Sus scrofa: one gene and its partners. The protein of the gene in region 2 interacts with the protein of the main gene of each other region in a biochemical or structural test. Links are inferred from orthologs where the notes say so. Each region holds a gene or a part of one and is shown on either strand. Other genes may lie near its edges. The genes, in order: TFE3, SMAD3, NEDD4, SMURF2, TGFBR1, MECOM and ZFYVE9.

Evidence for each region.
Region 1: the proteins of SMAD3 (region 2) and TFE3 form a complex in vitro, tested with the Homo sapiens proteins (2 studies listed by BioGRID). The link is inferred for Sus scrofa from reciprocal best matches to the Homo sapiens genes SMAD3 and TFE3.
Region 3: the proteins of SMAD3 (region 2) and NEDD4 interact in a test that uses a peptide from one of them, tested with the Homo sapiens proteins (3 studies listed by BioGRID and IntAct, with this or other methods). The link is inferred for Sus scrofa from reciprocal best matches to the Homo sapiens genes SMAD3 and NEDD4.
Region 4: the proteins of SMAD3 (region 2) and SMURF2 form a complex in vitro, tested with the Homo sapiens proteins (2 studies listed by BioGRID and IntAct, with this or other methods). The link is inferred for Sus scrofa from reciprocal best matches to the Homo sapiens genes SMAD3 and SMURF2.
Region 5: the proteins of SMAD3 (region 2) and TGFBR1 form a complex in vitro, tested with the Homo sapiens proteins (2 studies listed by BioGRID, with this or other methods). The link is inferred for Sus scrofa from reciprocal best matches to the Homo sapiens genes SMAD3 and TGFBR1.
Region 6: the proteins of SMAD3 (region 2) and MECOM form a complex in vitro, tested with the Homo sapiens proteins (2 studies listed by BioGRID). The link is inferred for Sus scrofa from reciprocal best matches to the Homo sapiens genes SMAD3 and MECOM.
Region 7: the proteins of SMAD3 (region 2) and ZFYVE9 form a complex in vitro, tested with the Homo sapiens proteins (2 studies listed by BioGRID and IntAct, with this or other methods). The link is inferred for Sus scrofa from reciprocal best matches to the Homo sapiens genes SMAD3 and ZFYVE9.

Annotation. Positions count from the first base shown.
Region 1 is NC_010461.5:43,113,578-43,117,700, forward strand, and holds the start of TFE3 (transcription factor E3), read right to left. Parts: upstream 2,801-4,123; 5' UTR 2,497-2,800; coding exon 2,381-2,496; intron 90-2,380; coding exon 1-89. UniProt on the Homo sapiens protein: Transcription factor that acts as a master regulator of lysosomal biogenesis and immune response.
Region 2 is NC_010443.5:165,109,957-165,113,456, forward strand, and holds part of SMAD3 (mothers against decapentaplegic homolog 3), read left to right. Parts: intron 1-1,786; coding exon 1,787-1,999; intron 2,000-3,500. UniProt on the Homo sapiens protein: Receptor-regulated SMAD (R-SMAD) that is an intracellular signal transducer and transcriptional modulator activated by TGF-beta (transforming growth factor) and activin type 1 receptor kinases.
Region 3 is NC_010443.5:115,988,730-115,993,006, reverse strand, and holds the start of NEDD4 (E3 ubiquitin-protein ligase NEDD4), read right to left. Parts: upstream 2,801-4,277; 5' UTR 326-2,800; coding exon 1-325. UniProt on the Homo sapiens protein: E3 ubiquitin-protein ligase which accepts ubiquitin from an E2 ubiquitin-conjugating enzyme in the form of a thioester and then directly transfers the ubiquitin to targeted substrates. Specifically ubiquitinates 'Lys-63' in target proteins.
Region 4 is NC_010454.4:14,473,183-14,476,682, reverse strand, and holds part of SMURF2 (E3 ubiquitin-protein ligase SMURF2), read right to left. Parts: intron 1,200-3,500; coding exon 1,085-1,199; intron 1-1,084. UniProt on the Homo sapiens protein: E3 ubiquitin-protein ligase which accepts ubiquitin from an E2 ubiquitin-conjugating enzyme in the form of a thioester and then directly transfers the ubiquitin to targeted substrates.
Region 5 is NC_010443.5:240,858,635-240,862,885, forward strand, and holds the start of TGFBR1 (TGF-beta receptor type-1), read left to right. Parts: upstream 1-1,451; 5' UTR 1,452-1,466; coding exon 1,467-1,689; intron 1,690-4,251. UniProt on the Homo sapiens protein: Transmembrane serine/threonine kinase forming with the TGF-beta type II serine/threonine kinase receptor, TGFBR2, the non-promiscuous receptor for the TGF-beta cytokines TGFB1, TGFB2 and TGFB3.
Region 6 is NC_010455.5:108,333,335-108,337,395, forward strand, and holds the start of MECOM (MDS1 and EVI1 complex locus protein EVI1), read right to left. Parts: upstream 2,801-4,061; 5' UTR 2,170-2,800; coding exon 2,133-2,169; exon of another isoform or gene 2,130-2,132; intron 1-2,129.
Region 7 is NC_010448.4:159,882,476-159,885,975, forward strand, and holds part of ZFYVE9 (zinc finger FYVE domain-containing protein 9), read right to left. Parts: intron 3,376-3,500; coding exon 3,295-3,375; intron 609-3,294; coding exon 446-608; intron 1-445. UniProt on the Homo sapiens protein: Early endosomal protein that functions to recruit SMAD2/SMAD3 to intracellular membranes and to the TGF-beta receptor.

The DNA of each region.
Region 1 (4,123 bases), on a different chromosome or scaffold from region 2:
TTTTGAGCTCGTAGAAGCTGTCAGGATCGAGGATGTTTTCTAATTCGATGTCAGCAACAATCCCGGATTCCGGAAGCAAAGAATTCAGGCTGAGGGTGGGGGGAAGGCAGGGGTGTTGGTCAGTGATTGTATGGAGATGTCATTGCCCCGAGAGACAGAGACAGGAGAGGAGAGAAGAGACGAGAGAAGAGACAGGATGAGACCAGGAGGGAGAACAGAGCGTATCCCTCACATTTGGCCACTCTGCTGAAACCACCACCATGAATCCCCATGTCGTCTCCCCTCCCCACTCTCTTTTGCTCTGTGTTACCCACAGGTCCTTAAGATTCAAAATAATAAGAGCGCCTGGGTCCCAGCGCCCCGCTCTAACAATCCCGTGTACAACCTGGGTTTCAGGAGAAGAGAAATGAAGAATTTAGGAGTGACGATTCACTTTGCGGGACTCCTGACTTTGCATTCAGAGTTCTCCCAGCCCCCACACTCCCCACTGCTTTCGTGGCTGCGGAATGCGAGCCCACGGGGGTCCACAGATGCAGTAGGAGAGCACCCCTTGGCAGAACAGTCCATTGTGACACAAAGTGAACTGGGGAGGCTGATTCACTTTACAGAGGATCCACTACTTTGCAAATAAGTCTCTCCCCCCACCAACCCCGCCCCAGTCGGAGTTCGAGGGATGCCAACATCCAACCAAAAAAAAAAAAAAAGAAAGAAATGGAAATAATAAAGACTCCCCTAGGCTCAACGATCTGGATTTACAAGAGGGAGAACTGGAGTGGAGGATCACTTTGTAGGAACATTCTTCTCTAGGTCAGAGGAGCCTGCCCAGCGCTCTCCTGGTTTTTTGGATAAATCGCAACACAAACACACCTTCCATACCAACACCCACAAGCACCCAAAATAATAAGCCAGGTACACCCCTCCCTTTCAACTATTCCCACCACTATCATGATCCAGGTCGTTATAAAAGCAGTAGGAGATGATGGTAAATTGTTATGATGGAAAGGCTCCTGGCTCAACCCTCCATGCCAGCTGCAAGACCCTAAAGTGTGAGGGCCACTAACATGGGGGCACATGGACATGCATCCCTGAATTTTGTCAGAAGATCTTGAATCCTCAGACTGTGGTTGACTTCACTTGACAAGAATTCTTGCCCCTCCCCAAGGATCTGTCTTCCTTTCTTTCTTCACCCACAGATGGGGCCCTAAAACCACCCAGGAAGTCGGGAAGAGGAAGCTCGGGGAGCTGCTGAGCTAGGCACAATCCCAGCCAGAAAGTAGGCAAAGCCCCCCTCCCATGCTCTCATCCTGGAAGCGGTGGGCACTAGACTGAGAGGGCTGGGGCTTACAGGCCTGTTGATAGAAGTGAGGCTGAGAGGTCAGAGAAGAACTACCCAGCCAGGGATGGTGCAATTGGTGCTCATTCCAGCTCTGGGGTCAGATTCAAGATTGTCTCCAGGGCCTGAGAGACAGACAAGGAGGGCGAGATAAAAAAAAAAAAAAGTACCTGTGTCTGAGTGTGTGTGTGTGTGTGTGTAGGGGGTGAAAAGGGCTGGCTGAGAGGCTAGGGCAGGTGGCCTCAGGAACAAGATCCTCCTCTGGGTTCCCCAATAAGGTCTGATGAGGCCTTCAATGAGTTAAGTGTTAGCACCACCTCCATTGCCTGTCTGTCTGACTGACTCCCATTCAAGCCCCTGTTGAGGGTGTGAGAAGAGGACTTTCCCACTATCCCTTGGATCTGACCCAGCTGGACGGGTGGGCAAGTGGAGGGATTATTCTGATCAAGTCTTGATGAATGTTGCTTTTCTTGTGCACTCGCACACACTCCCAAGGCTGGTCCCACGCAGCATATCTGAGATAGCCCCAAATCCCTTCAGAGTCAAGTTTCCCCAAACACAGCCTCCAGCAACCAGCCACTGGGAGTCACCAAGCTCCTGAGACAGCACCTCTGACTCCTAGGACCCTCTCTCTGAGGGGAAAAGAAGCCTTAAAATCAGTACCTCACTTACAGAGTGGCCCCTTAAATTCATTCTCCTCATACCTGACTCAAGAATCCCAAATTCAACCTCTAATCAGAGTCTCAGTCCCTGAAGTTCAGCGACGTTAGACCAGTTTGTGGACACAACAGAATCAGTCCCTCTAGACCCAGTCAAGGGCCCCCCAAATCTGAACAAGGCCTCTCTTAATGTACTTCCACGACTCCTTTAAGCCTCAGTCCAAGCAGGCCACCGCCAGATTCCTTAGGTGCCCCCCCCAAGTCGGGCGCCCCGACGTCCTCCAAGCCTAGGCCAAGGGCCTCCGATCACAGTCCTGGGCCCCCGCTGCCCCCAGATCAGGCCCCCGGGAACCCCAGTCAGCACTACCGGTCCCAGGCGGCCCCGCACCTGAGCAGCTGGGCCGAGTCGGCCGGCCTGCGCTCCTCCAACAGCACGAACACGGCTCGAGGGCCCTCCGCGCTGGCCTCTACGCCGTCCCGAGCTGGCTCGGCCGCATGAGACATGACGCCCGGCCCCGGGCGAGCCCTGCCAGGCCGGTCGGGCCTCGGCCCGGTCCCCCCAACAAAATAAGAGTCCCCCTCCCCCGCTCGCCACCGCCTCCTCCGCTAAGCCATGGAGCGAGCTCTGCGCCGGCGGGCGGCGTCGGGGAGATGGGATGGGCCGTGAGTCATCCCCCGCCCTAAACGGACCGACACCCCCCCCAACCTAACCCCGGACGACCGCCTTCCTCCCCCTCGTCCTCTTCCCCCTCCTCCCTGGGCTGGGGAAACTCCACAGGAAGTGACCGCATGATGGATAGACAGCTCGCCGGGCCACGCCCTCTGGGTGAGACGACCAATCGTCGAGGGATGTTTCAAGGGCCCGCCCTAAGCTACGCCTCCGAAGCCAAAAGAAGACTAGATTCGGCAGGCCCTTTTTCCGAGAAGGGGGCACCTAGGCCACGCCCTCAGAGAGAGGCAAATCAATGAGAGGTAATTTGATTGAGTCACGCCTCTTCTTCTCAAATTATCCCTCCGCAAGATAGTAAGCCGCTCCTTAGGGCCTCTGCGCCTGCGTACTGAAGCCCGGTCGGCGCGCGGAGGCTCTCCAGGCTACGCTTCTAGCTGCGGAATCGCGCCCTCTCTCGGCCAGCATTCGTAATATCCACTCTCCAGACCGCGCTCCAACCTTGATCTAGCGGTGCCTGCTAAGCCAAAGCCTAAGCCTTGAGGCCTAGGCAGCTACGTTCCCTTGAATTGCGCACCAGAAACCCTGCCCTCTCGGTACCTACAGTCCAGCGATCCAGCTGGTCTTCCAGGAAGCGCTCCGTCTGCTCTTTGTTGTTCAGAGCGGTTGTTGTACTAGGTCGTTGTGCTACACTGTAGGTGCTTAGTAAAATCCTTGACGGATGGCTGAATGAGTGGAAAGATGGACATTAGATCCGCTCCCTTCGGTGGATGACTTCTGTTGTTATACAGAACTGGGTTTGGATATGGACAAGGGACTTACCCTCTCGGAGCCTCAGCTTTCTTGGCCGTCAAATGGGGGTCTTAATACCTGTCTGGCGACATTTTTATAGGGAGTAGAAGTAATTTATGAATAGTGCTAGCAGATTTTTTGGTATACAATAACCTCTCCAAAAATTCATTGATTCAGGAGTTCCCATCGTGGCGCAGCGGAAACGAATCCAACTAGGAACCACGAGGTTTCGGGTTTGATCCCTGGCCTCGCTCAGTGGGTTAAGGATCCGGTGTTGCGGTGAGCGTGGTGTGGGTCGCTGACGCCCCCCGGATCTGGCGTTGCTGTGGTTGTGGCGGAGGCCGGCAGCTGTAGCTCCAATTAGACCCCTAGCCTGGGAACCTCCATATGCCTCGGGTGCGGCCCTAAAAAGACAAAAATAAAAAAATTGATTCACTCATTTGTGCACTGGTACAGCAAACATTGATTGAGCTCCTCTGTGTGCTAAATGTATGCAAGTTGGCTTGCACACAGCGGAGGGTCCCACTCACACCTTCAGGTGCACAGTCAACTCACAAAACACCAGGACCAACAACCTTCCCTAAATTCTTCCCAGCATCCCAAGACCATGCCCATCAGTTGCACCACTGGGAACTTCACTGAACTTCCATTTGCCTTGTACCTTTCTGTATT
Region 2 (3,500 bases):
CAGCAGGTCCGTGCCAAAGCCGAATGTGAACACAAGTCTGTCCAGCCTTGAAGCTTGTGCTCCCTGAGCTGGTCAAACACCCAGGACAGTGATTTTCAACTGCGGCCTATTTTGCCCCCAGAAGACGTCTCTCAGTGTCTGGAGAAGTTTCTTACAGTCACAGCTGGGAGGGTGAGATGGATGTATGTTGCTGGCATCAAGTAGGCAGAGGCTTAGGATGCTGCTGTTGCACATCCCAGAGCACGCAGGATCCCCCCACCCAAGGAAAGAATTATCGTGCCCCAAATTTGCCAAGGCCGAGACCTGATCCAAGTGCCCTCACCCTCCAGCCAACTCTTCACAGCATGTTGAGTGCAGGGGTGTCACCGGTCCGCAGCCCTTCCCCTGTGAGCCAGCCTTCTCTTTGCTCTTAGATGGGATCATGGGCGTAGACCCCAGAAGGAGATCAGGGCCATTTTGCCCTGCAGGGGAACCCAGGCCCCTCCTGGAATAGCTTCTGCTTTATTCTTTCCTGGGCTTTTATACACTTTGTGAGGTCTGGTGAGCTGAGCTTAAGTTCTCATGGGTTCTCGCTCTAGGAAGTTGCCTGGCCGGCGGTGACACGGGTCTCGGGCCAGTGCTGACTTGGCATGGCGAGCTCTCCCATCCTCTCACCAGCTTCCAGAGACACGCCTGAGTAACCATATACGCAACTCTCTATGTATATGTAAGAGCCAGAGTACGTGGTGCAGGCCAGAGGGCTAAGACCAGAATGAGAGCAGCAGACTCTGATTCACCAACAAATAGGGGGATTCGAGGAGGCACAGGGGAAGGACGTGGCCCCGGGAGCAGGACAGGGCAGAGAAGAAGCTGGAAGGGCTGGGCTGGGTGCTGGGGAGCCCTGTCAGAGGGCCGTGGCACTAGTGCAAGTGAAGAATGACGAGGAGGGACCCTGAGGTGAGAAGTGACACAGAGACAGGCAGGGGTACCTGGGCAGGTGTGGAGCCCAGAACAACTGGAGGTGACAGGAAGGCTAGGGCGTCCCTGGAAAGGGAGGTGTGGCTTCGTGTGAGGGGAAACCTCTACTTCAGGAGTTCCCACCTCTTCTGAGAAACAGAACTGCCCCCTCCCAGGACGGCAGTTACTCTGAGGTGCCCTTGACTGAGACCACAGGATGACCTCTAGAAGTTCAGAGTTTCTTTTAGGTGAGTTTGTGTGTTAGCCTCCTGGTTGCTCAACATCTGGATACACTTGGAGGATAGTTTCTATAACAAGAGGCAGGAACCGGGTTTACTCTGCAGATGGTGCCTGGCGCCTGTGTGGTCTTGGACACCAAGCGCAGCGCAGACCCCAGGGCTGCAGCAGCCTTATCGTTTCACAGGCTTGGATGCTGCTGCTCGACAGGAGTTAGCTTTGGAGGGGCGGAGATCAGCATGGGTTACCTCGGGGACCTAGGAAGAGAGGCAGGTGGCGTGGCCTGCCCGCGATAGGCACACCCAGCCTGTCCAGTGTGTCTGTCCAGGGGCTTGGCCTAGCACCTCCCTGAAGACGGCTTCAACCTGAGGCCAGGCCAGGCGGGGCAGGGCCTTTGGAAGCTAAAGCTAAATGAAAAGTGCTTCTCCTGCCACCTGAGTATTTTGTCCCGCTGGCTGCTCCTGCAGGTTTTATCCAGTAAAAGGTACGAGGGTGGGGAGATTATAATGCCCTCTGAGAGGTGGGGAACAGTCTTCCAGAGCAGCCGGCAGACCCCGTCCAGGGGCACGGGGCCTGGGGCGCCACTGACCCAGGGGCTGGCCTGTCTCCTCAGACCTGCAGCCCGTCACCTACTGCGAGCCGGCCTTCTGGTGCTCCATCTCCTACTACGAGCTCAACCAGCGCGTCGGGGAGACATTCCACGCCTCGCAACCGTCCATGACCGTGGACGGCTTCACCGACCCCTCCAACTCGGAGCGCTTCTGCCTGGGGCTGCTCTCCAATGTCAACAGGAATGCGGCTGTGGAGCTGACACGGAGGCACATCGGTGAGGGGCGGTCGAGTTTCCCCCACGACACCCCAGATCCCCAGCCCAGCACAGACCCCTCCAGAATCCGCCACCACTGTGCTGGGCCTCCCCCACCTCCACCCCTCCCCCAAAAGCTCTCTGTCACCTTATTCAGGGGCCAGACAGGTAGAGTTCAGGTTGCTTGATCATTCTCACCCAGAGACAGATATCATCTTTGAAACTTTGAAAGCCACAAGGGAAGATGCTGGACTTTCTGGAAAAAGGCAACTGTGTAATTCTCCTTAATAAAAATACCCTTAAGGGGGAGTACCCGTTGTGGTTCAGTGGTTAACAAACCCGACTAGGATCCTTGAGGACTCAGGTTCAATCCCTGGCCTCACTCAGTGGATTAAGGATCTGGAGTTGCCGTGAGCTATGGTGTAGGTTGCAGACGCAGCTCGGATCTGGCGTGGCTGTGACTGTGGCATAGGCCAGTGGTTACAGCTCTGATTCGAGCCCCCTAGCCTGGGATGCAGAGGGTGCAGCCTTAAAAAGACCAAAAAAAAAAAAAAAAAGAAATACCCTTAAAGTACTGATAAGTGGGTAAGTAGATAGTCCTGGAAAGATGATCTTTGGTTTGTTCATTTCACACAGGATTATCCTAGGAACTTAGAAGAGGTAGAGAGGCAAGTATTGCCCACTGCTGGGTACCACTGCTGCTGCCACTCTGTCTTCCAGCACCCAGCGTGCGGTAAAGCCCACTTAGTTTAGGGAAGATTGAAGCCTTGCTGTGTTGCTTTATTTGCTCATAAAATCATGCTAAGAGTATTCCCAATGTTGTGATCCAGAGTCACCTACAAGAGCCATGGGGATGGTATGGAGATGGTTGGTATTCTGAAACATTGCTCCATGTGCCCAGGGTGGCCAAAGGGGCTCCAGGGCAAACTCGGGAGCCAGGTAGGGCAGTGGGCCACATGACCCAGAGCAGCCCTGCTCTTGTTTGTATTATATCTTGGGCCTTCAGAGATGATTCATTCGGAGAGAGGATTTTACAGTTAAGACAAGTTTGGAAGCCACAGGCCTGGGCCAGGGTGCTCATGTTCCAGGGAAGACCCTGACGGACAGGCAGGGAAGGGCAGAGGCCACACAGCAAGTGTGACACAGTCAGTGGCAAAGAGTCCCTGCTGCTGAGCCTTCATCCTTCCCAGACAGCCTCCCCATTTGTTTTACTTTTTAAAAGATCCTAGATGGCATACACAGGTGTTTACTCACTCACTTTACACTTTTCTCTATTTAAAATATGTCAGAAATTATCAAAACGAGAACAAATGTTTTTGTCCTTTGGGTCTGGGTCTTTCCACCTGTGCCTCTGCCTCCTGATCATTTTTTTGGGAGGGGGCGCACCCATGGCATATGGAAGTTCCCAGGCTAGGAGTCAAATCAGAGCTGTAGCCACTGGCCTGTCACCACAGCCATGCCAGATGTGAGCCGCATCTGACCTACACCACAGCTCACGGCAACACCAGATCCTTAGCTCACT
Region 3 (4,277 bases), about 49 Mb from region 2:
TGCCAGCTAAGACATGGCTAGACTGAAGACATCCACTGTACCTTGTTGGCTGGAGTGAAATCTGCAGACAGCTGCTCTTTTTATTAACATTTTCAGGTGAAGGAACAGATGATCTTTCCTGAGACTTAACGTTTTCCTTTATTAACGGAGCTAGTGCAGTTTGTCTGGGAGTCAGCTTCATTTGAACCACGTTAGAGGTTGAAATCCGTGTTGGTCTTGTGAAGCACATGTGAATACTGCTATCCAAATCATCTCCAGAGGTTTCTGACAAAGGGTAAGTATTGCTTCTTCTGGCTGCAAAGTGCAATCGTAAGCTTTGTGCCATTTGTTCTCATTTCCAAACATGTTAAGGGCTGAAAGTCATAACAAAGATCTCTGTCGGTAGACAGGCTAGAAGCAGCTGCACTGCATCGAAAGAAAAAATCATTTGTGGTGCCTAAAAGAGCTCGTAAGTAGTGGTCTTTATCCTGAGTAAAACCTTAGAGACCAGATATCGTAGAAAGAAAAAGACGGCCCATTCCCGAGACTGACGACTGACGTTTCCAAAATGTCTTGAATCGCTTGTAGTCAAAATGCCTTCACTTACAAAGCACTTGATTTCCAGCGACCTTTAAGCTGAGCTCAGCTGCAGCACACTGCCTCAAACACTGCCAACCTTGTTTCAATTATACCTTCTCCAATTTGCATGAATGAGTAACACAAGAACAACAATCTTCTAGCATTTCAAGTTGAAACAGTATTTTTCACTCCAGCTCTACTAAATGAACATTTAACTATGTGAATCACGGTGCCTATACTTTCTCCAGCAGTTTGACCACTAATATTTTTACCCATAGGGATAGAATTACAGGAAGTTGGTAGGAATGAAACCCCATGTAATTGAGTATCAAATCAAGGATTGAATTTCCAAATAGTGGTCATACTGGAATCTAGTCAACTTAGTAAATGTAGAAAGGAATATAGACTGTTAATTTTTTTTAAATGAGTAAGTTCAAACAGTTGTATAAACTGGGAAATATCAAAACTGAGGTGAATTAAAAATTTAGCATTAAATCAAATAGATACATATTTTAGCTTCTAAAACACGATGTACTTATAAAAAGTGAAAGCTTAAGGATCGAAATACAAAATTAGCCTAGTAATCTATTGCAAAAATTGAGCATACATCTGAGAAAAAAAAAATTTTGAGAGAAGCTGTCACCAAGCATTTTCTCCTGTAATTTTAAGGCCTTTTCAGCCAAGCAGTACAGTCTTTAAATGATGCCATTTATATTTGGACTATTAAAACTCTGCCAAGAAATAGGCTAAGAAAACATTCCATTAAAAATATATGCAGATTAGACAGAAAAACTATACCCCAATATAGTTTGAGCACACAAGATATTTTATTCCACTGTCTCTGCAATTCATTCACTTAAGAGAGTGTTGTGGTAAGTAAAGAAGTCTAAAAAGGATTTAACACATCAAATAAACATATCTCAATGCCAATTCTGTTGCGAAAAACTCTAGGAGCTCTTTGCTGGCCCCTACTGGTGCACTGAAACAATTCATTTAGTTGTTTGATACCTATAAAGAAGTACAAACCATGTCGCATATTTCTTTATATAAACAAAGTACATACTTGTTTACATTTTTGAGCACTAGCACTGCCCTAGAGGCAGAATTACTTACTACTGCTGATAAAGCTCCCACAGGAGAGAACAGTAGACTGTCTGTCCTTTCAGAGGTTGCAATTTTGTATATGTATTTTTTTCTGCTTCGTATTTATTTAACCTTTACTTTATTTTCAGTTTACTAGGTAATAAAAGTTTAATATTTTAATTTCTCCCCTAAATGTCATAGACCAAGGTTGGTATTCTGTTTGAAAGAAACAAATTTATTTTTAAATAATGCTCTAGGGTATATTTAAACCCCTTACCTGAATTTTACAGCTGGAACTCCAGTAATAAATATATACTGGCTCATTCATAGGAAAGTAAAAAGCAAAATAGTTCAGTTGTTTACACCACATGGTACTACACCCAAGTTGTATTTTTCTAAGTAAGTTTTTTTTCCCTAAGTGAAAGCAAATATGTAAAACATATACTCACACTTTGTTTAAAAAAGAAAACTCAAGATAGATCTGTTCTCAATCACAATTTTCTAAACACTGTTTTTAATCAATTAAGGCAGGACAAAATAGAAATATGGAATTTACTAAATTCTATTTCTGACTAGAATGAGATAGTACTGTTTTAGAATGTGTATAATTATAAATTTAATAATAAAATTATTATGCTATTTTGGTTTTGCATAACCTATTTCCTTTATGATATTACAGGCTTCAGTACATATTCTCTTAAAATCTTTCTTTTTTTTACCAGAAGGGAGAGTCCTAATCTTTTCACTATGCCTTCAAATAATTCCAGCTTTCCTTCTTGAATTAAGTTAGGGATTTGAGGACTCAAAAGATGAATCACTTCTAATAAGCTAATCAATGAGATCTAACTGCTAGTGCCTGTGGCTTAAAACTTCCAGTTATTAAGGAAATCCCCTTTAGTTGTTACTATAAAATAATGAATAAATAATGATAAATGTTTTCTCTTTGGTAAGCTTCACTGTTAAGTATCAGTTTCACCTAACTAGATTTTAAGCTTCCAGAGGGTGAGGACAACAACTAAACATTTCTTATTTCCTCTGATCCACCTGAACTCATGCTGGGTACAAAGTAAACAGTAGGTAACACCAGAGAGGAGGTTGGATATATGGTGGATGTAGCCAATCCAGCTTCTATTTCCTTTTTTTTTTTTTTTTTTTTTTTTTAATTAACAGCTGCAACTAGCATATGGAAATTCCTGGGTTAGGGGTCAAATCCAAGCTGCAACTGCGGGCCTATGCCACAGACACGGCAATACCAAATCCAAGCCACATCTGTGACCTATGCTGCAGCTTGCGGCAATGCTGGACCCTTAACCCACTGAGCGAGGCCAGGGATCGAAACCCACATCCTAACGGACACTATGTCAGGTTCTTAACCCACTGAGCCAAAATGGGAACTCCCCAAGCTAATACTTCTAAAGAGGTATCAAAAATACTGCAGCTGGACAAAAAGAAGGATGCTCGAAAATTTTGCAAAGAGGGCTTTAGCCAAAGGGAAACAAAGGTAAGAGAATCAAATGCACTTCCTAGCACTCTAGTCTGAGTTTAAATGCTAGTGAGGCTGAATGGTTTGCATTACTGGCTCTGGTCTGGGACTGCACAGGATCTGTGCCACTTTTATAACAGAACCTGGGAAACACGGGGTAAAATGTAGCCCCTGGGGCAAACAGATGCCAAAAGTGGAGCATCAACCCTAACCTCAAGGAGAGGAGAGCTGGAGAGTGGTAGCAGGCTTCATCTGGGAGGAATCTGTGCAAATCCTATAGAATTTCATATTCTGGAGTGAAACGGATAATGTCTTCAGATTAGACTGGATATGTTGACTTGGCTTAGCTATTTTGCCCAGTTATTAGTCCAAACACCTAACTAGATGTTGCTGTGAAGCTATTGTTAAGGTATGATTAACTTTTAAATCAGTAAATTCTGAATAAAGCAGAATGCCCTCCATAATGTGATGGACTTCATCCAATCAGTTAAAGGCCTTATGCGCAAAGACAGGCTTCCCAAGGCAGCAATTCTGCCTAAAGGCTGTATCACAGAAGCCTTGCCTGAGTTTCCAGCCTGCTGCCCTGCAGATTTCAGATGCATTAACCCTTGCCTGAATATCCAACCTGCCAGCAGGGCCTCTTCAGACTTTCCATCTTCCATTATCACGTAAACCAATTCCTTAAAATAAATCAACACTCGCCTCATTACCTCGCTCCCTCCCCCTTTCTCAGGTGTGTGGGTGTGTGTCCTATTGGTTCTGTTTCTTTGGAAAACCTTGACTAATACAACCACTCAGCCTGAGAAGCAGAACATCGCCACCTGGAAAATGGAATATAAGCATCTCCTAAAGCTTCAGAGGCTGGATGTGTGCAGATGCAGCTCTTGGGTTGTGGCAAAGAAGCCCTAACTTTCGCATTAGTGGATAGAATTCATTTAAAGGCATATTATTCTTCAATGTCCCATGGCCATCAACACCAACACCACCATCACCAAACTATGACAGTTATAACCCCCAGGTTCTTAAAACTGGTTGACAAAAAAGGAATATAAGCCTACTCTTTCTTGAAGCAAATATCACTTATATTGAAAGCATTTTCCAGATGACTAGAAATTCATTCTCCTTTAAGTTTATCTATGCTCATCACCATATA
Region 4 (3,500 bases), on a different chromosome or scaffold from region 2:
ATCCGACTGGGAACTATGAGGTTGCGGGTTCGATCCCTGCCCTTGCTCAGTGGGTTAAGGATGCAGCGTTGTCATGAGCTGTGGTGTGGGTCGCAGACACGGCTTGGATCCAGCATTGCTGTGGCTCTGGAGTAGGCCGGTGGCTACAGCTCCAATTCCACCCCCAGCCTGGGAATCACCATATGCCATAGGAAGTGGCCCAAGAAAAAGGCAAAAAGACAAAAAAAATAAATAAATAATAAAATAAAATACAACATTGTAAACCAACTATACTCCAATATAAAATAAAAAATTTAAAAAAACCCAGAGACCAACACTCAGAGATAAGCTCCATCAATATGTAGTGTAGAACCTTTCAATGTTTACACATATACGTGTTTACCAAAACTGCATCATACTATTTTATAATCTTCTTTTCACTTAATATATTACAAATACCATCTTTATATGTCATTAACTATTATCCCACAACATCACTTCAGTGGCTGTATAACATGTACTTGTATGAGAAGGTAATAAAAATAATATGAAAACAACAAATTAATAACAGCTGCTAACTCTTGTTGAATGCTTTATAATATGTAATAGGGTTGCTGATGTGCGAAATACTTAATGTGCAGGGTCTCATTTAACTGTCGCAACCTTCTCCTAGGTACGAACCATGTAATTATTAGCAATAATAAAACTGAGACTTCAATCAGGTGAATCTGCCTACGGTCACAAAGCGAGTTAGCAATGGGGCCAGGATATGATCTCATGTCTTTCTAATTCCAGATTTGATGCTCTTAACTATTACTATCATATTCTGCTTCATGCTGTAATTTAATCAATCTCCATTTATGGACAACAATATTACCTCCAATTAAGGGCTACTATAAACAGTGATGTAGTAAACACCCCTGTGCCCAAACTACTGCACATCAGAAAATTTTTACTTGAGAAAATTTCTTACAGTGGACTTGCCTAGTCCAAGGACGTGACTTGGACAGGACAGTAAACCTATTTCATAAACTTCACTGACACTTAAAGATGAAAAACACTGTAGTTCACAAGGTAATCCATATCATCATAACCACAATCATACCGGATTAACTGCAGAATCAGGATTGATCTGCAATGTATAGATATCATCTCTTGAATACTGGAAGAGGCCGTAGTAAGGATTCAACATTTCATGTGACAAGAGATATAACCACTCCCTAAAAAACAAGATATGTCAAAGGAATTTGTTTTGTTAATGAATGTACTTTTACTAAGATATGCTATTAATTAATCATGTTAACAGAATTTTTTAATACAAGAAAATAAAGCACTAACTAGTTATACAAGGTCACATTAGAAAAGTCTACCATGTCCAAAAAGCAAATGAAAACTCTTCTTTTGTCATACTGCAGTCACTTCTCACTCAATTTGGGGTAATTTTATGACTTTTTTTTTTTTTTTTTTGGTCTTTTTAGGGTTGCACCCAAGGCATATGGAGGTTCCCAGGCGAGGGGTTGAATTGGAGCTGCAGCTGCCAGCCTACACCACAGCCACAGCCAACGCCAGATTCAAGCCACATTTGCAACCTATGCCTGAAATTGCAGCAACCCTGAATCCTTAACCCACTGAGCAAGGCCAGGATTGAACCCTCATCCTCATGCATCCTAGTCGGTTCTTAACCTGCTGAGCCACAACAGGAACTCCTTATGACATTTTAACATCACAGAATACAAGGATAATATCCAGAAGTACCAACTGTTCATTAGATGCTGCAGTCCAGTGATCTGCTACTTTTAATTGCAAGTCAGATTTGTAATCCATGATAAATGTAAGCTGAAGGGAAGAATACGGTTTTATTTCAAAACAATCATGTGATCTGTATCATTCTGGTCTGTTCCTATCATGGCAGACTTAGAGATACAACATAATAATTTATTCTCACTTTTGGACAAGGTTACATTTTACTGTTGGTATTGTTTTAGTAAGAAAATTCCACTATCCATTTCCAGTATCTGTGTAAACCCTGAAGCATACCATGATAAAAGTGTAAGTGGTGAGAAACTGAAAGGTGGGAACACAAGGGCAAGCCTGTGTTTTCTGGGTATGCTGCTTACCACTTCTGGGTTCCAAGTATATACCAGTGTTTTTACAACCTGACAGTAAACAGTACTATCACCTTAAGCTTATTAAATCACTTAGACTTTTCAAAGAATCAGATAATTTGTTATTCATCTTGGTGAAACTGAAATAAAATTACTAGTCCAATACTTAAGGAGGTATTGTTCTAGTCTCAATTCCCGTCATTCCTCAGCTAGGAAAGGTACTTAAGTAATATATTCTGATATTATGGATTAAACAGAGTAACTTTTCCTAGGAAATGCAGTGAAACACCATTAACAAGATGTTAAAGGAAACCATTTCAAAGTTCTATCATTTGGTTGAGCTGAAATCAATTCACTACCATTTAATACTTAAAAACTCTAGAAATTAAAAAGAAAAAAGTGAAGTCCTTTTCTTCTCACCTGATGTGTCTTACGCTTTTTATGTATGCGTTTTTTAAAATAAAATCCAAATTTTTGTTTTGTTTTGCTAAGTCTTTAAAACATGCATAAAAGCAAAGCTCAATTACTTTTGTGTTCTACTACCAAAGATCAGAAAAAGCAGAGTTCATTGCCACATCCCATTTGTCTGCCCAAACCCTGAGAGCAGTGAGGTTAAGAAATAAACAAACAACTAAACTACTTATTTGACCTACACGTGTAATTACAGCATTTAGTTTCCATCAGCAGAAAATTAAAAAGTTTTCCCAACAAGCATTCAAAATCTAGTTAAAAGCAAATCATAAGCATTCCACAGAAACTATCAAGCCTCAAGTATGATGTACAAATGATCAGTTCTAAAAATCCAAACTATCCATTTGTAGGTAAAATGGTCACAGAAGGAAAGTAAGTCTATGGTGAAAACAAGTAATGCTAATTAAATAAGAATTATGGGGCTTGGTGGAAACCCAAATTAATTTAGGTTGGATTTAGAACAGGGGAAGTGGAATTTATCATGATAGTCCTTGAAATGTTTCAATTCAGAAGCTATGGTGTTTCTGCCGCATTTATATAAAGTGAATTCTCACTCCTTGAAAAAAAAAAACTTGATGATGCACATAGCATAAACATTACAGCTTCTGTATTGAAACATTCTAAGGACAATTTACGATACACACGCATACATACACATACTTACAAACATTCCTTTACCAAAGTTAAAAAGTATGGCAATGAAAGCAAAGGAAAACAGCAGAATACACACCATTAAAATCTCAAGATTGTTCCTGACAATGTAAAGCAGAGGGGATAACATGTACTGAAGAAGAGAGAAGGAGAAAAGTCCTGGCCTGCAGGGCCTACAAACAGTCCCCAGAGGGTTGCAACGAGTTTTCAGAGAAAGTCTCAGTGGACTGCCCGGTCCACGGGGGAGATCACAAGCACTCTTCTGGCAGCAGTACCATCCTAACCTCATTAGCA
Region 5 (4,251 bases), about 76 Mb from region 2:
TAGAAGTAGAATTTGAAGGGGGAAAAGAGGGAGTCCTAAATCTTAATATATCCTCTCACTAACTTTGGAAGATTGATACTATTTCCATTTTGTATAGATGAAGAAGTGGAGGCTCAGAAAGGTTAACTGAGTTAACTGAGTTGCTCAAGCCAGAATGGGAATAGTGCCAGTCTCAGATCTCAGCTTCAACACCCCTACCCTGCCTCTTTACTGCTCAGGAGGGAAGTCTTCACAGGCTTGTAAAATACTCACGGAGTATCGCTAGAGTAATTACAAATCAATACTAGAGGCTGGTTCTGAGTCCTGCTACCAAGGTTTATTTAATTCCAAGTTCAAATCACACAGAAAATAAAATTTTCTCCTTAAAAGGTTCTGTGGAAAAATGTTCTCTGTTCTGTGTAACAGCCTTCTCGGTTGTGTTTGTGTCTGAAGAGAGGACTAGTCTGACGGGAAGAATTACAAATCTGGAGCTCATTTTGGCGTCCCAGAGGGAAGGTGGGTGGAGCGTCTCACAGTAAATTAGGAATTCAGAATGAAAACGTAGCCGAGTTTATTTGGGTTTCTAGTGACACCTCAGAATTATTGTGCAGGCGTGTCAGAGGCAGCTCAAACTAATGACTGCTCCTCCTCCGCCCCGGGGGTGCTGCGTGCTAAGAACAGGAATCCCTCTCCTTTGGGCATAGGGATGAGGCTCTTCCCTTGCCCCGCAGAATCAGGAAGGGGGAAGGGGAAAGGAGTGTGGTTTGGAGCCCAGTCTGGGTCGGCTCTGAGTTCCGGAGAGGGGCGGGAGGCAGTTTGGGGGTGTGTCTGAGCTCAGGATCTGAGGTCTGAGGCCAGGATTTGGAGACTTTCTGGGCCTAGAATTTTGGGGTGGGTATCTAGGTTTTGGGTGGATGTGACAGCGGGAGGAAACAGTAGACTGGGTAATATACGAAAGGCACTGAAGCAGCATCGTGGGGCGGGGATTTTGAAAGTTGAGACGTGGATATGGGGAGGGGAAGTTGAAGCCTGCCTGATGGTACTAAGGATCTGGATGAATGTGGGGAATTGATGGTGCAGGGCTGTGAACTGGGGTCGGGCTTAGTACCACATCTTAGGTGAGAAGAAAAGAGGCTAGGAGAAAAAAGCGTCGAGCAGCCACAGCCTTTTTCCGAAAGCAACTCATACCCAGACACACCCATCGCTCAGCCCTTAGCTCTTAGCCCTTAGCCCTTGAAGGCGGGAGCCTCGGCAGCGTCTGGGCTAGACCCTGCCCCCACCCGGCCTCCACGGAACTCGGAGCTGCTCCTGCTGGGGCAGGGGTCTGGCTGCCCGGCCCCCCGGGAGTTTGGGGGCGTGACCAGTGAGCGGAAGCCTGCGGCTCTGGATTGGCTGCCCAGCGGGCCTGTGGGCGGTGCTCCTGGGTAGGTCCCGCTTGGCCGCTTGCAGACGGCGGGGAGGCGGGGCCGGCGGGAGCCCGACAGCCAATGGTCGCGCGGCCCCCAAGCAGTTACAAAGGGCCGGAGCGAGGCCGCCTCGGCGGCGGGGGAGGTGGGGCGAGGCGAAGCTTGTTGAGGCGAGGCGGCGGCCGGGCCGGGCCGGGCCACAGGCAGTGGCGGCGGGACCATGGAGGTGGCGGCCGGTGCTCGCGTTCCCGGCTGCTCCTCTTCGTGCTGGCGGCGACGGCCACGCTGGTCCCGGAGGCGACGGGTGAGCGGCGGCGCGGCGGAGCTGGCGGTGGCTGCGGGGCGCGCCGGCCGGGCCCGGCCTCTGGCTCGCTCCTTCTCTTTCTCAAACATGGCGCGGGGCCGGGGGCGCAGGTGGCGGCGCCCGGGCGGAGGCCGGACTTTAAGTGCCTGGCTGCCGCCACGCGAGCCGCGGGCGGGAGGCCGAGGCGGGGCGAGGGCGTGGGTTCTAGCGCGGGCGGACGTGCCCGGCAGCCCGCGGCCGCCCGAGCTGCAGACTCTGAGGGAGGTAGCGTCGGGCGGAGCCGTCCAGGGTTGGGGGCTGCCCTCTGGGAAGCGAGTGGGCGCAGGCCGAGGGCCCCAGGGTGCGAGGCTCTCCTGGACTTGGAGAGCTGGGGCTGCCCCGAGTCCCCGCTAGTCGCTGTGTGGCGTTGTCCCGGGCACCGCACCCAGAGCTGTTAGGTGCTTCAGGCTCCGGGGGCCCGGGCGGGGTTGGGGGCGGAGGGGGCTTCCAGGGCGGAGTGTGAGCTCCAAGTCTCCAGGGCCTCCTCCAGCAGTGGGAGGGCGCGACGTGTGACCCCCGAGTCAGCAGAGACCCTCGGGTCAGCAGGCCTCCCTGGCCTTCGGCGCCGGTCTGACCCAGCCGAGAGGGGCTGCTTCCTCATCCAGGGGTGGCTTTGGAATGGGAGGTGCTGCGAAGCTTTGTTTGAGGACAAGGAGGCACTGAGATGTGCGGAATGTTTCTTCTTTTCGTGCGTCTGGGGAAGTGTTGAAGTGAATCCACTAACCAGAAGGCTACAAATTGTTTCGTAGTAGAAACTTGAACGTTTGCTCACTCTGCGGGGTTTGGAATGTTTGAATGGAAATGACTGAGTTGATCACACGTTTTATTTCCTCGAAGGACATCTCTAGAGATGTTGCATTTCTTGAGTGACGGTAGTTTTCATCAGTTGTCTGTATAGCTGGTTTTCAAGGGAGAATGTTTGCTGCATTTTCCAAAATATAAATTGGGAAAGGGTATATGGTCATCATCTACCCCGTGGAGGGAGGAGTGAAAAACTTTGTTAGCATCCCAACTATAATACTAGAAACTGAAATATAGAGCCTTAGTATAAGCAACTAAAATAAGTTTCTCTTTCTGTAACTGAACAGCAAATGCTTTTGAAACAAAAAAACTCAGTACTTAGGGTGCCAGATATTACTATAAGCAGCTGTCTAAAGAAGACTTACTGTGGTATAGGTGCATAAGGTACACCAAAAGTGTACTATCTAATCCTCACATCCCTCAGGGCCCAGTGGCATTTGCCCCATTTTATAGATGAGAAAACTGAGGTGTGGAGAGGGTTAAGTATCAATTACTAAGAGCTGGAGTTAGGATTTGTACCAAGGGTTCAGTGTTTGCAAAACCTATACGTTTTAAGATACACACTTAACTGTCTGGCGAAGCCCATTTTTCTTTTTTAGTCCTCTAATGAATAATTGATTTTTATTATTCACTTTTAGATTTTGCCCTCATAATTAGAAAAACAGGCTGGCTTTTTTCTGGCTCCTAGTACATTTTTGGAGTCCTTTCACACCTGGCCTTCATTAGAGGAAACAGTGAATTTTTGACATTGGCCTGAGAAGGGGGTCAAGACAGGTGGGAGAATCAATATAGATATGCATCAAGCATAAAATTAACTCGAATAACACAGTTCACTCTTTTCCACCTAGCTTAGCACACAGAGTGTTCCTATATTCAAGTAACAATATTGGACTTCATTAATGTACAGAGCATGGCTTAGTCTGTGCCCTGGAGGAGTTAATAGACTACACTGGCATGCAGACAAGACAAAGCTGATCCAGGTGCTATCATCCTTAAGTCTAGACTATCTCAACTGGTCTGCCTGCCCTGGTAGGTTACGCTGATGTTTCCATTTATCCTTTCATACATTCTGAAGAAGCTCAGGTCTTTTTATTCATTTATTTTTAATTTTTTTTCCTTTTGCAATCATATCCATGGCATATCGAAGTTCCCAGGCAGTGGATCAAATCTGAACTGTAGCTGCAGCAATGCTGGATCCTTAACCCACTGTGCCAAAGTGGGAACTTCTCAGATGTTTTTTAAAATTTGTAATTTTAAACTCCTTTCTAAGAGTTTGTAGTTGTTCCCTCATTGTCCAGGTTATCAGTTTTGTATTTCTTTGCCCAGCTTCTCTCTCCAACATAAATTTCTCTAGGGAAATTGGTTCCTTGTCATTGGTGCACAGTTTAGTTACCAGTATGTCTGCTTATGTACCCATGTGAGTGTGCTCTTTCATAATGTTTTCTTTGAAAATATACCTGAAACTCAGCTCTTCTTTACATTAATGCTTCTTGAATGTTTCTTCCCCTCATTGGATTCAGCTGTCAGTTTAGTCCTGCCTCTTTTCCCTACCCCCAAATCCATTTGCTTTTCAGTATTTCTCTCGCTTATAGGCTGCTGCCAAGCTAATCTTCCTTAGCCATCCTCTCAAAGGGTTTACAGGATTTCCCATTTGTACTCAGTGCTTAGAGCAGTACTTGAGGCTTATGATTAGGGCCATCACTTAGTACCCAGAGATCTCAC
Region 6 (4,061 bases), on a different chromosome or scaffold from region 2:
AATGAGGCGCGCAAAGCGTTCGGCTTTCATTTCACAACTTAGGCAGAGTTTGAAATTGTCTCTCCGACCCCCGCCCCACCCCCCAAACACACACACACACACACACACGCACGCGCGCGCGCGCCTAATCGTCAGTTGGAATTGAAGCCCCCAGACTTCCAAGCGTATGTACATGTATTCTTCCTCAAATGAAAATAAAGACATCGGCCTCATTTAAAAGCAAACAGGAAAAACAGGAGTACCACTGGCGCACTTTGGCACTGTCTCAGCTAAGCGAAATGAACAATATCCAAAAGAGAAATAAATGGACTGATGACCCAAGAGCACTATATACAGGTTGATCCTTGAGGCCAGAGTGAAAGGAAAAGTACTTGGGAGTGAGGGAGTGCTTGGGTGAGGACTGGGCGAAGCACTGGAAAGACGCCTTACGATGACAGCATCTCACAGGGCTAGACCTCGGAGTCTCACCGCCAAAGAAACCAAGCCCGCCAAGGTGCCGCTGTCCTCCCGCGCGGCTGCGGCGGAGACACCAGAGGCTGGAAGGAGTGAGGCATACTTGGTTTTAATATGTAGGAGTGCGGAAGACTGGGGAGTTCACTGGGAAGAAGCATCCCACCCACCCCATCTCTCCTTTCTCTGGTCCAAAAGCAAAACAATTAGAGAGTTCTGTTTTCTGCGAGGAGAACAAACGGCAGCCGGTCCCTTTCTGAGGCTGCTCCAGGCCCGCATGCTGACACCTTGCGGAGGAGAGCTTCCGACTGCTCAGGATTGCCCCGGGTCTCGGCACCTCTGAGTACCCTTAGATTCGAGGTAGATGCATTTGGACAAACCCAGTCCCGTCGCCTACAGTCCAGGCTGAGACTCTTGCCTTCCCCGTCAGTACCGGCCCCGCGGACATCGCAGTGCGAAGTTACCCAACATTGAAGCGAGCAAAGTGGGGGATGGGAGTCCCGCCACCCCCGCCCCGAACTCAATCGCCCTCGTCCCGCGTGACCTAGGCCGCTCCACGCCGGCAGGCAGGGGGCGCCGGGGAGGGTTAGTGACTCGAGACCCTGGCTGCAACCAGAAGCAGGTCAGCAGGCTTCGCCGTACCCTCTCGGCTGCCCAGGGAGCCCGCAGCCCGCCCCCTGCGGGTCACTCGGCGCCCAGCCAGCCTGAAACTATAGGGCCGAAGCGCGCCGTTTCGGCCCCCTTCTCCTCGGCCGCCGTCGCCTCTGGCTACGCGCCCTCTACTCCCCGTTCAGCAGGCGCTCCCAGGGCCTCTTCTCTCCCCACCTGCCCGCGGCTTTGCAGAGCCGGTAGCTCTGCTCTGCCCGCGCCCCCCCCCAAAACACACACACACACACACACACACACACACACACACACACACAGCGACTACAGCCTCCACCCTCGTCTCCCCCACTCCCCACCCCAGCCCTCCCGCCGCGCCGCGCACGCCAGAGAGCACGGCCGAGCGCACAGCGCCCACTACCGCAACCGCCGCTCGGCGCAGCCCGCCAGCCCGCGCAACTTCCAGCGGCCGCCTCGCAACTTTTCCCAACTCCACCACTGCTGCCCGCCGCCGCCGCCGCCGCCGCCACTGTGGCTCCCTCCGAGCCTGCCACCCACCCCAGACCCCGAACACAAACCGAGGCGCGAAAAGGCTCCAGTCCCCAGCCCGCGCCGCCCCCCCCCCACCCCGCTGCTCCCCCTCCCACACCCGGGACTAGCTGGTTGGCCAGAGGCAACTCTCCTCCGCCTGGGGGGAAGAGGAGGGGAGGGGGAGACTCTTGCATCTCCTCTCCCCCACCCCCACCCCACCCCTTCCCGCTCGCTCTTGCGCTCTCTCCTCCCTCCCACAAGGTCTTTGCTGCCCCCACCCCCACCCCCACCCCGGGGTTGCCACAGCTGGTCAGTGCTGCGGGCTTGAGGGCTGCCCCGGCTCCTCTGGCGCCCAAACAAGGAGCCAGAGCGCGGGCGGCCGGGCGTGGAGGCTGGGACCGGCAGGTTGCAGGGTCTGCGCTGCGCCTGCCCTCCACCCGGGGCCCCGACACGAGAGGAAGCCCCGCGCTCCCTCCCGGAGCGCTGGAGACAGATATGCAAGATGGCAGAGAGGGGGAAAGCCAATAGAAAAGGGATATTGCACCTACTTGTGGCCAGTTTCCTTGCCCTGCCTTTGGATCTCATGCTGTGCCCAGTCCTGCAGCCGCTGGTGTGTGGTTGGGGTTTTTTTTTCTTGGATCTTTTCCTTCTTTTGCTCTCTCGCTCCCTCCCTCTCGTCTCTCTCTCTCTCTCTCTCTCTCTCTCTCTCTCTCACACACACACACACGCACACACACACACACACACACTTACACACTCACTCTCTGTCTTCCCCTCTTTCACTCTCTCTCCCTCCCTCTCTCCCTTTCTCTCAATCCACACTCGCTATCTCTCCAGCATTGTCAGTTTGGACACCTTCGCACATGCGCGCTAGACGCCCCTCCAACATCTCAGCGCCGCCAAAAAAAGTTTGGAGCGATTTATCACTTTGATTTGGAGATCTTGTCAGATGGCAATCGCTGAGGAGGCGGAGAAAGGGAGCCACGGGGAGGGCGACGGGGGGCGGGGAGCGAGCTCAGGGAGTCAGAAGGGAGCAGACATCTAGCCCCCCCCTCCCCCAAAAAGGAACGCGAAGACTCGGGCAGAGGATTGATTTCGTATTGGAATCACCCATAAGCCTGTACCATTACTATTATTTTTTCCCACCATAAATTGAAGGAAATTTTCTATTCTGTCCTTGGGGGAAAGCAAGAAGTGGGGGGAGGGGAGAGGGCTTTTAAAAATCTTTCCCACACTAAAGAACTAGAAGGACCGGACTCCTCGGGCGAACGATCCAGGAGAAAGTGAGAATCATCCTGAACATCGGGAATCTGCTGCCGCTGCTACTGCTGCTGAAGCTATTTCGGCTTCTGCTTTCAGAGTTGAAAGCTGAATAAATAACTGTTTCTTTCTTGATTTTAGGTATAATGCCAATTCTTTCTGCCATCCTTGGGACATATCAGTTGGTCTTTTCCTACCAAGTAGTGATAATGACCTTTGGCTCCCAGGTCCGAGACGGCTTGGGCGTTTGACAACCAAGACCTCCTGTCTTCTCTGAGGTCGGCTGTCACCTTCCGGCCTCCCATACCGCTGCGGAGTAGCCTCCTGCAGCAGTTCAGCCTGCCTGCCATTTCACTCACTCGCTTAAACCCACGACCTCCCGGGTTATAGGAAGGAGGTGTGGGAGGGATTTCCCCCTACCTCTTAAAAAATACATTGTTGAAATTTGCTTTAATTACAGGATTTACCAATGAAGTGGGCATGCAGAAATGGGGACCTCTTAAAAGGAACTAGCTGTGTTCAAGGTATGAATCAATCCCAACTACTATGGATTTTCTCTTGGTACAACCTCCTTGCATTAAACAGTTTTGTTCAATACCCTCTGTGAGCTATTTATGTCCCCATTAATATCTGTTGCAAATCCTGCCAAACACCATAAAAGAAAATTACAATCTTTTTGTCTCTGTGCTGCAACAGTACATCCTTGATGTTCAAGTTAAAGGAGAGAAAAGAATAGCAGGTCCTGGGCATGAATTTGGCAAAGGCAGAGAAGAATAAGGAAGATAACTGAGAATCCCCAGTTGTAACCTGTTGTCATTTATTGTCAAAACTAGGACTGGGGATGTGAGTGAGCAAATAGCAAGGTTCAATTCCAAAGAGTAGTGGCTCACAAATATCTTTATTACAGGAAATTAAAGTTCAAAAGATTCACCTTGGCAAGGATGCCCACCACTTCTCTTTCTCTGTGTAATTCCAGGGGCATTTGGCTCTAAGATACAGGTCCCTGGAGAACCAAACTACAGGTCCCAAGGGAGACAGATGTGTAATGCTGAATTGTGAGGAAGGGAAGTGGGGTGGCAGAGGAAAGCAAAGGAAGGAATTACACAGAGCAGGAGTAAAAACAACTTTAAAAGAGAGGGTTCTGGTGCCGGTACACATGGGCACCAGAGAACTCTATCATCACCTCTGGACTAAAGAGGGAAAAAGGGGGAGGGGGA
Region 7 (3,500 bases), on a different chromosome or scaffold from region 2:
TTCCTTCATCCTCCCTTCAAAAACATGTACCAAAACTGCTTTAGAAATTAAGTCAAGAGGAATTCCCGTTGTGGCTCAACAGGTTAGGAGCCCAATGGGTATCCATGAGGATGCAGCTTCAATCCCTAGCTTTGTTCAGTGGGTTAAGGATTTGGTGTTGCCGTGGCTGTGGCATAGGCCAAAGCTGTAGCTCCAGTTCGACCCCTAGCCTGGGAACTTCCATATGTTTCAAGTGCAGCCCTGGAAAAAAAAAAAAAAAAAAGAAAAGAAAAGAAGAAAAGAAATTAAGCCAAGAAACCAGAAATACAAATTCCATGTGCAAATTGTACAAAGCCGTCCTTTCTTGTAGGCAGGGCTTTCAGTAAAGTTATAAAACATCAGGATGGCCAAAACCCAGAGCCTGGCCCAGAAGGAAGTGCCGCAGCGGGGAAGCTCAGCGCTTTACCCCTTGTTGACGTCCTTGTCGTCATCCACCCACTGGATGAGGATGTGCTCCTGGGGGTCCTCAGCATCCGCCTTGCCGCAGGTGATGGTGAAGTCCTTCATCTCCCGCAGAGCCTGCCGCAAGGCATCCATGTTCTCCGCAGTGATCTGGACCATGACGCCGTCTGAGAAGCAGCACCGAGATAACACAGGTGGGAGCAAGGCACAGCCAGGGAGGGGAGACAAAACCCCTTCCTGGCATCGAGCAAATCCCTCTAGGGTTAATGTAAAACTCTGCTCTGCCCTCTAAAGCTGACAGATGCAAAGACGTTTTGCTCTTTGAGCTGAACCTCTTACTGGCTGAACGTGTTACAAAGCGCAAAGGCCAAGATGGAGTCTGCTTAAAACTCCTACCTATGGATTTCACTTCAGGCACAACTGAGAGCTTCTCGTGAGACTGTTCAAAGGGAAAACTTACGCACAGTCACATCCCTCTTCTGGACTCAGAGAGAGCATTCTGTTCCTGCTTCCACGGTGACATTTATCATGCTCTAATCATATCTATTTCTTTGCATTTCTGTCTCTCCCACTGTCCTATGATTGCATACAGTGAATGCCCAGTGTTTGTTAAATAAATCACTGGGAAGGAGAATAAATTCATGTACTGACTAACAGTAAGACCAACCTACACATACGTTTTACCTGGGCTATCATATAGCCAACAGATTATAACTGTTAGGGGCTGCTACATACCCAAGTCAAAGGCAAACACTGAAAACTGAGGGTGAAAGTTGTCACATGCTGAGCAATTAACCTGCTTTGTTAATACAAAATTTTGTCAGGTGAAATAATTTCTGAAGAGCATGACTAAAATTTTCATAAATGGGCAACCAAGTGCTCTACTGGCACATTTAGTGAAACATAAGAGCTAAGAAATTCCTAACCCGAAGACATAATTTTAAAATATAATTACTCTGCATTTGTAAGGATCTGTGTCCATTTGAATCATCACTTTGACAACATTTAAAGGGTGCTTTTTAATCATCTTGTCAGGATAGATTTCAAATGCAGTCAATACTTGATCACACAGGCATTAATTAGTCGCTAAGACCAAACAACTACTTAACACCTAGATTTCCTAACAATTTCTTAATAGCATGTTCTGCTCTGCAGTTGTGACATTTAGTTGTGAAATATTAGCATGCTTTGTTCTTCGCTTTCAGCTTTATTAAGTTTACCAAAAAAGGAGATCAAAATCAATCTCTATTAACATACACAAGATTATCTATGTATTTCAATGAACACAATGAAATCCACCCTCAGAAGAACTGCTCTTCAGGTGCTGGAGTGAGCTCACGTGGAAATGAAAACCTGTCACTGCGGGTACGGATTGTATTTTCCGGAGACGACCACAATACCTCCTGTCTCACGTGCTTTCCTACAATGCTACTTTCCCATTTCCCCATCGAGAAAGAGTAAGTCCTCAGCCCTTGAGCAGGCTTTTGACCACTTCCAACACTAGAGTATGGTGGAAGTGACACTGTAGGACTTTTGAGTTTGGGTCATAAAAAGCAACGAGGCTTCTACCTTGTGCTGGACACTTGTGCTTGGAGTCCCGAGCCACCGTGTAAGAAGTCCAACCATCCCAAAGCTGCATGCTAAGGAGTCCAGTGTGCAAGGACTCCAGGGACTACTTTTGGTCTTTAAATCATCCCAGGACAGGCTCCAGATACATAAGTCAACAAACTTTAAGATAATTCTAGCTCTCAGCCATCAGGTAACAACCACCCTTCAGGCATTCCAACTGAGTCCCCAGACATCACTGAGCAGGGTCAAGCCATCCCTATATTGCCCTGTCAAGGGCAGATGCAGAAGAATCAGTGAGCACAGTAAAATAGCTGTTTTAAGCCATTAAATTTTGGTTTAATTTGTTATGCACCAAGAGTAACCAGACCAAAATACAGTGAAGAATAATTGACAAAGACAATAAATAGTATGCCCATTAGCCTTTCACTGATTTTCATTAAACTAACTTTTGTCAGGATATGTGTCCTATCTAATTATAGCAAACCAGCAGCAAATGCATCATTCTGTACACCAAATGGTGACTGCAGCATTCTCATGGATAACAGGGGCTGAAATTCATCTGCATATTTACAGATTCGCACCCAATGATATATTTGAACTCAGACTACGTCCCCTTGGGTACCTTAGCTCTGAAAAGCTATCTCTTTCTCTCTCTCTTTTTCTTTTCTTTCTTTTTTTTTTTGTTGTTTTTATAGAATGATTTTTATTTTTTTTCCATTATAGCTGGTTTACAGTGTTCTGTTAATTTTCTACTGTTCAGCAAGGTGACCCAGTCACACATGCATGTACACATTCTTTTTTCTCACATTATCATGCTCCATAAGTGACCAGACATAGTTCCCAGTGCTACACAGCAGGATCTCATTGCTAATCCATTCCAAAGGCAATAGTCTGCATATATTAACCCCAAGCTCCCCATCCACCCAACTCCCTCTCCCTCCCCCTTGGCAGCCACAAGTCTATTCTCCAAGTCCATGATTTTCTTTTTTATGGAAAGGTTCATTTGTGCCACATATTAGACTCCAGATAGAAGTGACATCACATGGTATTTTGTCTTTCTCTGAAAAGCCATCTCTTAATTTTTATGTTGGTGTCCCATGGTATTTCTCCCACTTATTTCCTTCTCTGGAGAGAAGGCACCCTTGTGGTAGTTTTAACTACCTGTTGAGTGAGATGCTACTGAATAAACGAGTCAGAAGTCTAACGCCAAAGTGTCAAGGCTTCCATTCATGACCCTTGTATAATTACGACTGTATAAGGTACATGCAGTAACTCATTCGTTACCTTCCACAATGCTGGACTTGGCAAGATATCCCGACGAGGACTTCAGAGCGCCACTGAACACAAAGAAACTGGCACCAGTCACTAAAATAGCAATGGAAAGAGTTTAGTGAACAAAGACTTGGAGATGGAGGGATTGAGAATAATAATGAAGTATCTGGTAGCTGGGAACTCCAACCACCATCATATAGAAAATAAAAAACACTGAC